2 linked regions of the Neodiprion lecontei genome follow. The protein of the gene in region 2 interacts with the protein of the main gene of each other region in a pairwise test. Links are inferred from orthologs where the notes say so. Each region holds a gene or a part of one and is shown on either strand. Other genes may lie near its edges. The genes, in order: tyrosine-protein phosphatase corkscrew and GRB2-associated-binding protein 2.

Region 1 (8,071 bases), on a different chromosome or scaffold from region 2:
TGCGGAATAGAAGGGGCTCCCGGGGTTTACACGAACGTTCCATATTATATGGATTGGATTTTAAATACGATAGGAACAGAGATATATGACTAATCATTAATGAGTAATATACGTTGACGCATTAGTGTGGTATCAGAAATTTGATGCTACGTATATAGTATGACATATCCTTACACGTTCACACACGTGAGAAGAACTTCGATGTATCGTATTACGCTGTACGCATATGTTATCGCTAATAAGTTGTATATTTGTACAAAATTTTATTTATTTTAACTGTATATAAGTGTCATTGCCGATATTGTGTCACCTATGACATCCGTATTATTAGTATTTAAAGTCAATATTATCAGAACTTCTTTATACTCAATTGTTTTCCATTTGACGTTTCACCGAAAATAAAAACAAAATTCTTGACTCGACTACTAGCCCAGTTATACAGCTATTACTCATTCCCTAATCCATATTGAGTATGTATGCTGACGGGAATTTAGTAATAACAGAAATAGTTGCCATAGGGTCTTTATTTCATATTATAAATATAAATGGACAGAGAACGTTGACTTTTCCCAACATAGCATAATTTCATGTACGGGCAATTAGTTACGACAGATAAACAACGTATATCGTCTCTGTAAGCAAGTTAACCTTCATTCCCTTTCTCTCATTTCGCCAATTGAAAATTGTAAAAGGAATAAGTGAGTCTGCTCTTTGTGCACACACTCAAGATCATAAGCAATTATCTCGATATTACGTGTTACCAGAGAAAAAGAGCATATCAATATCACTTGAAAGAAAGTAGTAAGTAATTTCTTCTCTCAGTCTGTAAAGTGTTCATTCGCGGCTGATCCAATAACATGCCGAGTTACTTTGGCCTAAGCGAACCGACTGTAGTGGAAAGTGTGATATTCGTCGGGGTTGGGAAAGCAACAAGAGTTGGCGTAGGAGATGAGGCATCTCCTGATCCACTACTTACTGCAACATTGGTTTCATCGGAATATCGGATGTTTGTGTACTCACGACCCAACTGTGATGCTTTCTGCAATGTTGTTAGTATGCATTTAGAAAAGTAACATATTTTTGTAAAGGCGATGCAATTGATACTGAAAAATCAAAATAATACCTGCTGTGCCAACATGCGTTGTGAAACTGTTTCAATGTAGTGTAGAACAGCTAGATACACAAACTTGTACTGAGCTTCGGTCTGAACCATTCCTGAGCGTTGGCTTCGCACCTTTTGAATTGTACGTTGGATGTCGATTTCACATTCCAGTCCTTAAAAAAAAAAATACATGTATATCTGCATATTCTACTATACGAAGAACTGCTGAATTCACAAAGATATTGGGGGGAGGGCATTCATTTTGAAGACAGGAGCAAATATTCTTGATAATTGTGACCAGTGTGTTGCAGTAAAATAATCCCGAGGATTCTCTATAATGAAGATATTTACCATGTCGTTTGATTTGATCTAAGATCATGTCGATGACAATAAAAGTGCCTGTACGTCCGATACCAGCACTGCAGTGTACAAGAATGGGTCCGATTCCAGGAGCACCAATATTATTGCTACTAGGCACAGCAGCCGCAGCAATTTGTCTGGCATTCACGTCGTGGAGAAAGTTCAAGACGCAGCCAGGGTCCGAAGGGACTCCATGATCCGGCCACGCCTGCCAATCGTTTTCGTCTATTATTTATTATTATAATAGTTTATTAATTATTATTCTTGTTATTATCATGATCACAGATAATTTTAGTTACATCTAACAACGTATGTAAAGATCGACAAACGTACGTCACCATTAACCAAGACAGATTGTTGCTAAAGCATTCAAATATTATGTAAATTATGAATATAAAAAGAAAATCAATATGTACTTGAAAGTGGTAATGGTAAATTTTTCTGGGTTCAGAATGCTGCGGTTTGACTCCACTTAGGAGAAACTCGCGAAGAGTATAATCCGCTGTTGATATATGACCAAAAGTGCGCACTCTCCATTCTCCATATTCAGCTTGCTCACCTTCCTCTGGCCAATAGCGAGCACACTTATTCTGAAATATAAACGATTATATAAGAATCAAGAAACTTGGATTCGTATTTTCTTATGCTCTGGAATTTGATTTCTGAATACCTTTCCCCTCTCCATCTCCTTTGTTGTCATCACAATAACACGAGTATTTTCTTGGTATACCATGTGCCAGAAATCTTGAATAGTATTAGGAAGGCACCCTTGAGTAGCTATATAACATTTGGTTGATGATCCAGCATCACCCACTCCAGCACCAGTGGATGCAGCATTATCACCTTCTTCAGTCTACGTTACATTTCAAATTTTATATAAAACGTGAAAGAGTAAACATTTTAATTACAAGTTATGGTTAGATTTTTCAGTAAGTGAATTTTTGATTAATATGAAATTGAAATGGAAAAACCAATGACATATAACGACATACTCGTATATAGTTGGCATTGATGTAGTCAGCCCCTGGAGTATTAGGATCCACATCTTTTAAGCGTACTCTTGTGTGATCAACTGAAAGAGTTATAAGTAAAAATATGTTAGTAATATTTGAAATTTAGACTATGTGACTTGGTCACCATCTTCATAGACATTTTCAGTTTCAAAGTTTTAATCTAATAATTGTCATATATACATTGAATTAAATTATTATAGTACGAGGGCCCACGACTAAATCCACAGATCTCGGTAGACTAGATGACCCTAGATCTGACTAGGCGGGTAGTAACGCTCAGAAGGCCTAGCAGCTTCATGGGGGACTATTTCTACTATCAAAAAAATTTTAAATAAACATAGAGGATATTATCACATCTTATCTAATCTTGAAAATGCACACAGATTTTGTTATTTCGTTACTAAAATTTCGGTTTTTAGACATTCTGCTCATATTGTCTGACCTGGCTGCATTTTCAAGACTGTCAACAAATCTAACCCAAGTGTATGAGACCAAAATTTTGGTTGTAGGGTCTTGTACTATAATAGATAATAGTCTTACAAGGTAATATATTCTTGTAGCGATTTTTTGCTCGGTTCTCCGGACGTTGACCTTCCTTTCGAGAGAATAAATGACCACATTCAAGTTGCTGCAACGACTCAAATTCTTCCCAAAAGCCAGCTTTTCCTTTGACAGAACCCCCCGCGCCATTTCCTGTTCCGTTAGTGCAACCCCCAGAAGCATTGTACCACCCGTTCTCTTTATGCAACTGTCGTACTCTGCTCTCAATTCCGCTTGCATTAATACGAGTTGCATTGAATGGTTGCCTGAAAGAAGAAAGTCGCATAGAATTATCAGTAGAGTTACACTTAGTATATGTAGATAAGAACGATAGTTTTATCCTAAAAAATAAGAAACGCTAGTCACTTACCGCAGGTGAACAACAGTTCCACTTGTTTCTACCATTGGATTGCGTTTATAATGTTCTATAAGATCGCTTAAACTGTCAAATTTATCACCGCCGCCTACGTCAAATCCATTGTCCTGCAACATTGATTAGTTGTTTTTTTTCTCTAGTTTAGGTATGTAAGTATATCTCAAATCGACTGAAAAATGGAATAGGGCTGGGAACTACCAGCAAGTAAACTCTACTAAGACAAAGCAATTGACCAAGAAGACTAAGTTTGCTCGTTAACTCTCAGTGACGAATCGGAAATATTATAGATTTGCAGTTCCCTGACATAGGAGTTAGACGAATATAACAATAATGACCTGTGAACGTATCATGACGTGAGTTACGCGATCGTCGGTGCGCACGGACAAAACAAAATCACCCGGCTTGCTTTGAGATTCTCGCACAAGAAATGAACCGTTTTTTCCACGTTCTACCATCAATCGTTCTGCTTCTTTTCCCGACAGGTGTCCGTGAAACCACCTATGGAAAGTTCAATCAATAACTTGAGTCTAGGTCAAATCAAAAGTTTGACAGATGTGTAAAAAGGATAACACATACCTCTCAGTAGTTGGATCTGCGCAGTTTAGAGGATATCGCAGTTCAATCACTTCTCCATTTTTCTCGCGTAATTGTCCACCATTTTCCATATAGTACTGGACAAGCTCGGACAATGTTGCAAACTTTTCTCCACCATAAAGATCGTAAAAATCTCCTGTATTCTGAATTTTGATATGGGTCACTTCCCCATTTCGTCTAAAAATCATGCCGCTCTTTTAAGGCAATCAACACCAATAGTGAAAAGTGCTTGAACGCTATTAACACTACTACACTTATGTGACATGTAGATGTAAAAGCAATTTCAATATATTAGTCTGGTTATTTGATTATTACTCGAAATTATAAATAACTGCACATCATACACATAATATCATACAATAATTTCTAAGCACATAAAATATCAAGCAAATAAGTTAAATGCTGCTACTGATTATAAACTTAAATACACATTTAAAAATTGTCAAAGCAGTCTCATAACAAGAAGAATATTTTTACTCACCTCACTGACAGTGTGAAGTTTGCAGGATTAGATGAACTGGGCCTTGCTAAGAAAGAGCAGTCATATCCACGTCCCATCAACAATTTTTCCGCTTCCAAACCTGATATATTGGGATGAAACCATCTGTCGAATGCAGTGATATATAACTTTCGACGACTGTACTTTGCTTGAGTAATATAATAATACTCTTATTACATCAATATTTTAGTTCACAAAGGATGAGAAAGGCCGTCAGAGCTGCTTGTTAGAAACACAGCGTCTGTATCTTATCAGAATATATATTACTCGATTAACCTCGAGCCAAATTAAGGCGTGGATGCATCACTGCATGCCTTGCATCACTCTGTCATCGATGGTGCAATGGAAAAATAATCTATATTCATTAAAACCAGATTCCTTCCACAGCACAAAAAAGGTATTACTCAAGGCCAATGGATGCTAATACTATACGAAGTTGCAATGATAGAGCCTACAAGTTACTCTACGGCGTATTTATCTAATTTTGAATAACTTATTCTCTGACGTAGTTATTGACTGCAAACAATAAACTGTATTACAATTATTATATTAGCAAATTAATAAAATGTAGAACAATGTGTGATTAATTGAAAAAGAAACTTGCTTGTATTTGCCAGTTTGTTTGTAAATAATGAGATGCGTTTACAATGTACAGTCAGGTATAGAAAAAGTACCGTATACGTCCGAGTGTAATATTTACATTAAAATTTGTATCCTACCATCTCAGGTTATGAATACTAATCTCAATGTGATTGAAATGACTCAAAGACAGAATGTGGTTGCAAAATAGGCATCGTTGAGCACCTACTCGACCATAATTAACCATGAGTAAACGAGGCATTGAGAAATTATTGACAAATAATTTAGCTACGCGTCATCAATGCATTAGCCTCAAAGTTAGTATGCGTATTGTTAGTTAGGTTAATCATTCGTATATAGTCTTGCGAAATGCGATAGTTAATGGTGTAATTTGATGAAATTAGAATAAAGATGTTTCGCGAACCGAAAATCTTAATTTAGGTTGATTAATTCAGGTACAATTATAGCCAGTGGATATTTAAAATGACACACAACTGAAAGCATCGAGTACGAGTGGCGTATTTTTTCCCCTTTCTATGCAATTACCATAACGTGCCTCACCTGCGGGATGCCATGTCGCAACTACGATTGTAACCAGTCAACATTTACTGCTTCATTGTTTCAGTTTTAACAATGAAAATCGTAACTTGCAACGTCAGTAAACTGCGAGTGAAACTCTTTTCGAAAACTGACACCAACCTGACATTTTCAAGTGTCAACGAAAACAAAAAAACGGCCACACTGGACACTGAGAGCCAAAGGGATATTACTATGCAGCCTATAGAAGGGTCATTCGAATTACCGATTTAAAATTTCTCGTCAGTTGCATGCTCGTACCGCTGTTAGACGACGATCGCTACTCACTAATACGAGGAAATATCATAAGTTGAATTCCCTTCACCACAATACAAAAAACGAGGAGTTTGGTAAAAAATAAGTGTATGCATTGATTTTTATGCAGAAATTAAAATTCAACGGATAGAAGCTGCATGAAGAAATACACGATGCTGTACTCCTTCTTAACCGACGGAAATTTATTTTATAACAATTTCTTCGATTTACTAGCAAATAGAAACGTGCAATTGACATTCTTTCTCATATTAGATAATTTACAAAGAGCGGAATGGCATATTCGAATACCTCATGAAACTGAAAGTACTGTTAGGTAGTTCCGTTTTAAATATATTTGAAAAACTATTCCTGGTTGCCGACCGTTGACATTAGCGCCTTGCCGAATAAGAGTAAGCGTTCGGCTGTTCAACAGTAGGCGTTGGTAGCCCAGTAGGTACAGCAGTTTGAATTGTATGATATATGATTACATGAAGTGAATGTAGGACATAAATGGAGTAAGGAAGTTACAACTGCTGATATGAATTATGAAGTTGAAGTGACGCAATCATGACATCACGACTTCTTCTCATAACATGGAAAGCATATTGAGATGTCGTTGTCAAAAGCTTACTTTGTGAAACCGTATTTCTATTCCAGGATTATTTATTCTCTGAAAGGCCGGGATACGTCATTCCTACACGTTAAATCCTACGAAACATTTTACGTGACCGAACCACACATAGCTGCACATAGTAACTCAAATCACAAGTATCGCGCCGTATATACCGTTGACTGAAGATATGTAAAGACGTTCAAACCTTGGCGAATATTTTCTCTGGCCAGGTGGGTTCGGCGGTAATACTACTGTCAACTCGACTCATTGTCAGTTCCATACTGAGTTTACCTAGGCGTACTTCGTATTTTTTTCTTACGTTGTTAGAATAAGTTCGCTATTTTTTAAACCATTACTACAGATGCTACGAATTGTCGTATAATTCCTTCGCTATCCAAAACCATTGTGATTCGAATTAGGTGTAGTTCGATCACGTGTAGGAAAATTTTATGTATGATTGAACGGGTAGAAAAGAAAGCTTTTCACCTTACAGAAATGATTTACGAGTACCCTCTTATTATACCTATACCTACTTATAGGTATGTATACTAATCATGGTGGAAGAATTACATGATGCATATCTGTAGCCACATATGCGCATGTAAAAAAGAAGAAAAATGTTACATTAAGATAATTATTTATACACATATCATCGACGATCCTAGAATATTTGTGCATTGCCAGTATCGCTGTAGCACTGCTATAGCTACAGCGTGATAATACAGCAAAACCAAATTGGTTTCTTACCACAGAAGTAGTAATAAAACCTTTGAATTTTTTGTTCGATACTATTAATATTACTATCATTTCTGTTCCCAAGTATTGCAATCATGTCTACACTCTGGTGTGTATCGTTAAGTGCGATACGGAATTGATTCTGAATGAGTTTATATTTTAACTTTTGCTTTATATCGTCGGCTGAGAGCACCAATATACTATTTCAGATTTTTGTTCAACAAAACCTCATCTTAGAATTTCGTACAAAAACGTCGTATATCCTGAAAGATCACTTTGGACATACAATGTTATTCAACGCAATTCTGAGATAGGGTTTTGTTGAACCAAAATCTGAGATAAGGTTTTGTAGTACCAAATTCTTAGATAAGCATTAGAAGCTGTATTTATGTTTTTATCGCATATTTCTGCAATGAATTTTGACTTCATAATGAAAAACGGTTGAATCTGAAGTGAGTTTTACATCAGCCATATGGAATATATTTTTTTAAGAAAAAACGATTGCCCATAATCCAATGACACTGCGATGAACGCTTCGACAATTATTATTGGTGAAAATCCGAAAAAAAATAACATGTTTCGCGCAGCTGTTTGTCCTATGTAACAATTCTGTTTATCTTTGTAGAGCTGCTGGAGGTCAAGGATGGGTCCTATAAATCGATTCTGAGATTACATCGTACTCCGGATCCAAAGATACAGCAGAGAATCGAAGACATGTTCTCGTATTTTCTTAGCTGTTAATATGTACAATTTTTATATAAATTTAACAATTCTTCATTAAAAACTATACTTACAATTTTCCACAAAATAATACGCAATGTTCAAATTT
Region 2 (4,899 bases):
AATCTACGATCTGAAGCTTTCCAAATCTTTTCATTACGCTCCAAGATCCAATCTCTGCATCTCCTGATACGTTGCTTGGTCTAGCTTCACCTGCTTAAAAAAATTTTCGGTTCGAGGTAAAAAAATTTTTCCTCAACCTTAAGGGATTCTTACATAATGGATCAGAATGCGAAAAAAAATTTATCAAAAGAAAGTGACGACAATTTCTAATAGGCAAATGGTGGATCAAAAACGGTGTAAAAAGAAAGTGGTCCAAATAGAAATTTCAAAAAATGACAGTAAAAGTTAATATGAATGCAAATAATAAATAAAGTAAATTTCCAACCAAAAACATTCGGAAGAATGAGTTTCTCATAGTTGAAATTCTAGGAACATCAGATAATAAATTTAATTTGTACAATCATAGTTGAGTCGATGTCAATATTATGTAACATATTACTAAAAAGCTCAAATCAATTAAATGAGCCTTTACGAAGGAATCAACACATGGATTGATTTTCTAAAAACAAAATCTAATTCAAAGGAGACAGCATCTTCTTTCCTCACAAATCATTGCAAATACACTTAAATTTTGAAAGCAATATCCGTGAGTTAAAGCTGATCAATTAAGGTCAACTGCGGCTTTAATTACAATTTTTTACTTACGAGACGAAGGAAATGTCTCCCAATTAACACTAGGAACTGGAGAAGTCCATTCATCGTCAGTAAATACACTTTCTGCATCAGTTGTAGTCGGAGATCTGGGTGGAGAGGGAGCCAACTTTCTTGGGGCATCATAATATTGTTCTGTATTCTGTCCCAGGGCAGAACTAAGAGAGCTTGTGTCGTTCAAGGAGCGGCCAGAAATGCATTCACTGATTGGAATGTAGGGTCCAGATATAGTACTGGTTGGTGAGATCGGAGGCGACTCTTGAGGCTCGAATGGAAATACTGTTGAAGAGAAAAATTGAAACATAGACAACTTTACTTTGCGTCACTGGAATGTGTTAAAAGTATATTCGTCTACACAGCAAAAATACCAAAGAACCAAAAAATGTCTTTCGTAAACAAAGATCTGCATTTTCAAATTCAATTAATATTTAATAAACAGACAATTTGTAACAGAATTGTTAATTTAACAAGTAGTTTTAGATATAGATACTTATTTTCAGACTTACTTTGACAGTGCGGCTCATCATCCTGTGTGTAAGCTTTCAAACCGCAAACCTGGCAAACTGCATCAACCCACTTGTTCATGTCAGCTTCGCTCTCTGCCACCAGGTAGTAAGTTCTTTTCGGAGTCTTCACGTCGAACATGAACTGATATTTCTGCTTTCGATTTTCAAATCTCAAGCCAGCATCCACCTGCACATTTGTAGTTGATTAATCAACGATTATTCTCATTCTTAAATGGCAAATAACTTGTAATTTTTGGCAAAAACTAACTTTAATGACGTTTTTAGAATTTTTGGAAATAAAAATAATTACCTGCTCGCATTGATCCAAATCTATGCGGCCCTTGAGCTTTCTGCAACGTCTGTCTGTGTAATATTCCAAGAAATATTGTCCAGGCAATTCTCCGCTGTGACGGAGCGCAAACCAACGCTTTCGCCATCTCTAGAGCAATCAGTTTCGAGGTACGATACACGGTAAGAATTTGTTGAATGTTCTGCTTCAATGTTGTTACGAAAAACAAATTGGGTGTGGCAGACAACAATAACTACTTGACAAAATGAGGTGCATATGTAGCATAATAACACCAAATTGATTTAAAACAGTCCAATATCTAGATCTATCATTGATAACTTTCGTGGAACATTACTTTCTGTTGGAATTCAAATAATTGGACAGTACTGATGAAACAGGTTTTTTCTGGTTGCAACAGATGCTGACTAGTTAGTTACGTTAGAATCAGTTTCAAGGAGATTCGTTTTCGTTGCAGCATAATTCACAGAGCTGTGTGTCAATGAAAACTAAGATATTGAACCCTAGTGAATAAATCAGAAAAGTAAGAGTTGAAATGTATTCATTATGAGGGAAAAATATCATAATTCAAAAAAGATGTAAGGAAGATTACATACGAATGAATGGAAACAGTCAAATATTATTAGATTTGCCTAAAGTAACATTATTTTTATGTGCTTCTACCAAATTACACAAATTATTCATCAACAATGCTATCTACATATTATGACAAGTGATTCTATACCACATACACATAAATAAGATTACACATAAATAAGAATAAAATTAAGTATGCTAACTGAGATGTCAAAGAATACTGATAATTATGTATAATCACTTTGAGGCTTTGATTAGATGCTCTAAATAAGTTTACATTTGGAATAGTTGCCTGTAAAAATACTGGAAACAGTAGCTCAGCAAATATGACAAAGACGACTAAGATTAAAGTAAATTGACAACAAACAATGATTATTAGGAATACGTCATAAATTTAAGTAGGATAAACCGAGATCTGAAGTATGTGCAACACACAGATACCTGACTAGCTGTCCGTGGTGGCGTTGAGCCAATTTCCACAGTTGAGCAAACAATCAATGATTATTAGGAAAAACCCAAGCGAATAAAAAGATTGATTCAGAATTGAATTGGGAAAGACAAGACTACAAATTCTTTTGGGGTCTCACGAGTATCCAGGTATGAGGTGGAAAGGATATCTTTCACTTCCTAGGTTAGACTGACGGTTATATTGTTAGGAAAAATGTTAACCCATTTAAAACGGTTCGAAGTGTCCCGATCAAGAGTGGGGCTTGACGATGTATGAATCCCATTCAATTAAAACAGGGGTTATCCGAGCGTTAAATGGGAATGATTAATTGTCGGATGATAGAAGCCCTGGTTAACGTAAACAATGGAAAGAGTCATCTTCGATTAGATTTTAGAGGAAACCTTACCGCTTTCCACAATTTTGAGGGTGGCGATTTTATAAGCCAGCCTTCGTGGACGATTTCTTGGCTTGTTTTGAGCGTATCCATGCCCTACACACTTCTTAACGAGTCGTAACGATTAATGACACATCATTGAGAAGACCGAGCGACTAACACGCACGTATTCGGTCCATTTATCTATTTTTGGTCGATACACAGGCAAGTAGCTCACCAACGAGCATCGTAATCTCGACACACAACCAAAGTTAGTTTGTAAGATAAGGTTATCTCACTTCGTTCGTCACTACAGGAAGTTTGATCCACGAACGTCTAAAAGACATAGTATAAAGAACGTATAAAGCAATGGCATGAAGAGGACTGAAACATCTGCTATTGAAGTCATAGGGTGATTTTTAATCATGAGTGTGACGTCGCAACTGCTGTCCCCAACGATTCCAGAAGCTAGACACTGGATCTAATCGTGATGGCACAGCTAGACACAATCAGTAGTTCTGGGTGACCAAATACCAACTAGCATTGGAATGCACTAGACAGTGGATGCTCAATCCCGCTTTTCGAACAAACCGGGAATAGGATTATCCTTGTATTAATTAATGAAAATTATCTTACCTTTTGAAGATGATTAAAACTCGATGAGCAATGAGTCGATGTGTTGATACTAGCGCCACTTAGTATGCGCTGAATGTGAAATATCTATTTTCTTGACATTCCTATTGGCCACGAACTAGGCAGTAAAACACTGCGGCAGCATTTTGTTGCCCATGAAAAACCAGACCAAAGAGGATTGGATCTTTGCTCAATACTTGCCAACACACTGAAAACACGAAGGGTATGTTCCAATATACACTGCGAGCACTGTTCAGTGCTCTTACTGGGGAGAAATTCGTTCCGATATAGACTGACTGTATGCAGTCGCAGTATCCTAGGGAAATATATGACGTCATAAATCGTCGCCATTTTTCTACTGTGAACACTGGTGCTTTCAAGGTAAGGTGCTCTCAGTGCTTCGATCACGTGATCAACAGCGTTCAGTTGCCAGTACTTGCAGTACTGCGAGTATATTTCGGAATACACCCATGGTGTGCCTAGAACTCCTACGACACGCCCCTTTCTTCGGGGGTTTAGTTACCCAGATATGCACCAAAATATAATGGATCATATAAGAAATTTTCGATGACCGAATATATAGATACAGAATGCAGACTGAAACTAAAATCCTTACTAGATCAAAGAGAAGAAGAGCAATAAACCAGCAAGAGATAAGATATCGCATGAGCATTCAAGCAGTGAGAACTCTGTTCCATGCAGCATGTCCACATCCAATACACTACAGGGATGATGAATCTGGTGAATACGACACCAAAAGATTCATGATGGATTTGCAAATATGGATATCCTTAATCTTAGCTATGTGGATCACAATGTCTGACACTATGCGTGAATATACATGTGAATGTTGTATATCACTTAGACAAGCTGCTACTAACTATGAAGACAAGCTTAAGATGATTATGACTCACAAAGATTTTCATGCAAAACGAGTGTCAAAGTCTACGATAATCGGATGGGCAGAAGGCATATCAACGGATGGAGCCAAACAAGTCTTTGATGATTTAAAAGATTTGTTCGAAGCCATCATTATGGCAAAGTCAGATCCTAGGATAGAAGAGTTAACTACTGATTTTAGTGCAGTATCAGATATGAGTGTAAGTTCAGATGATGATACTAAAGCACAAGAGCAATCTATTCTAAAAGATGAGCTCAAAGCTGATGATGAACACGGAGAAACAAGTCAAATCGTAGAAGAACACCAAAACAGCGAAGAAGTTGCAATGGCCAAAAGAAAGAGGAAAGCAGTTCCTCGACCAATTGGATTAGACTAGGAAATAGATGATACCGATGGCATGATGACTGTGTGTTTAACACAAATATCAAAAGTTGTCAAAGTATATCTACCCGAAACTATAAAAATTGGTAGAGAAGGTTTGCGAATGTATACCGTTAATTACCT

What was found.
Region 1: the proteins of GRB2-associated-binding protein 2 (region 2) and tyrosine-protein phosphatase corkscrew interact in binary tests that used the Homo sapiens proteins (3 or more experiments, as listed by UniProt). The link is inferred for Neodiprion lecontei from reciprocal best matches to the Homo sapiens genes GAB2 and PTPN11.

The regions. Positions count from the first base shown.
Region 1 is NC_060263.1:35,935,303-35,943,373, forward strand, and holds tyrosine-protein phosphatase corkscrew, read right to left. Parts: upstream 5,833-8,071; 5' UTR 5,669-5,832; coding exon 5,625-5,668; exon of another isoform or gene 5,610-5,624; intron 5,561-5,609; exon of another isoform or gene 5,488-5,560; intron 4,590-5,487; coding exon 4,467-4,589; intron 4,180-4,466; exon of another isoform or gene 4,174-4,179; coding exon of another isoform or gene 4,163-4,173; coding exon 3,968-4,162; intron 3,890-3,967; coding exon 3,727-3,889; intron 3,499-3,726; coding exon 3,386-3,498; intron 3,282-3,385; coding exon 3,016-3,281; intron 2,535-3,015; coding exon 2,455-2,534; intron 2,316-2,454; coding exon 2,133-2,315; intron 2,053-2,132; coding exon 1,879-2,052; intron 1,671-1,878; coding exon 1,454-1,670; intron 1,276-1,453; coding exon 1,124-1,275; intron 1,040-1,123; coding exon 866-1,039; 3' UTR 507-865; downstream 1-506. Other genes in the region: serine protease easter, read left to right, coding at 1-93. UniProt on the Homo sapiens protein: Acts downstream of various receptor and cytoplasmic protein tyrosine kinases to participate in the signal transduction from the cell surface to the nucleus. Positively regulates MAPK signal transduction pathway. Dephosphorylates GAB1, ARHGAP35 and EGFR.
Region 2 is NC_060265.1:9,032,983-9,037,881, reverse strand, and holds the start of GRB2-associated-binding protein 2, read right to left. Parts: upstream 3,215-4,899; 5' UTR 2,976-3,214; coding exon 2,895-2,975; intron 1,597-2,894; coding exon 1,468-1,596; intron 1,345-1,467; coding exon 1,158-1,344; intron 931-1,157; coding exon 646-930; intron 94-645; coding exon 1-93. Other genes in the region: uncharacterized protein LOC124294987, read left to right, coding at 4,085-4,771. UniProt on the Homo sapiens protein: Adapter protein which acts downstream of several membrane receptors including cytokine, antigen, hormone, cell matrix and growth factor receptors to regulate multiple signaling pathways.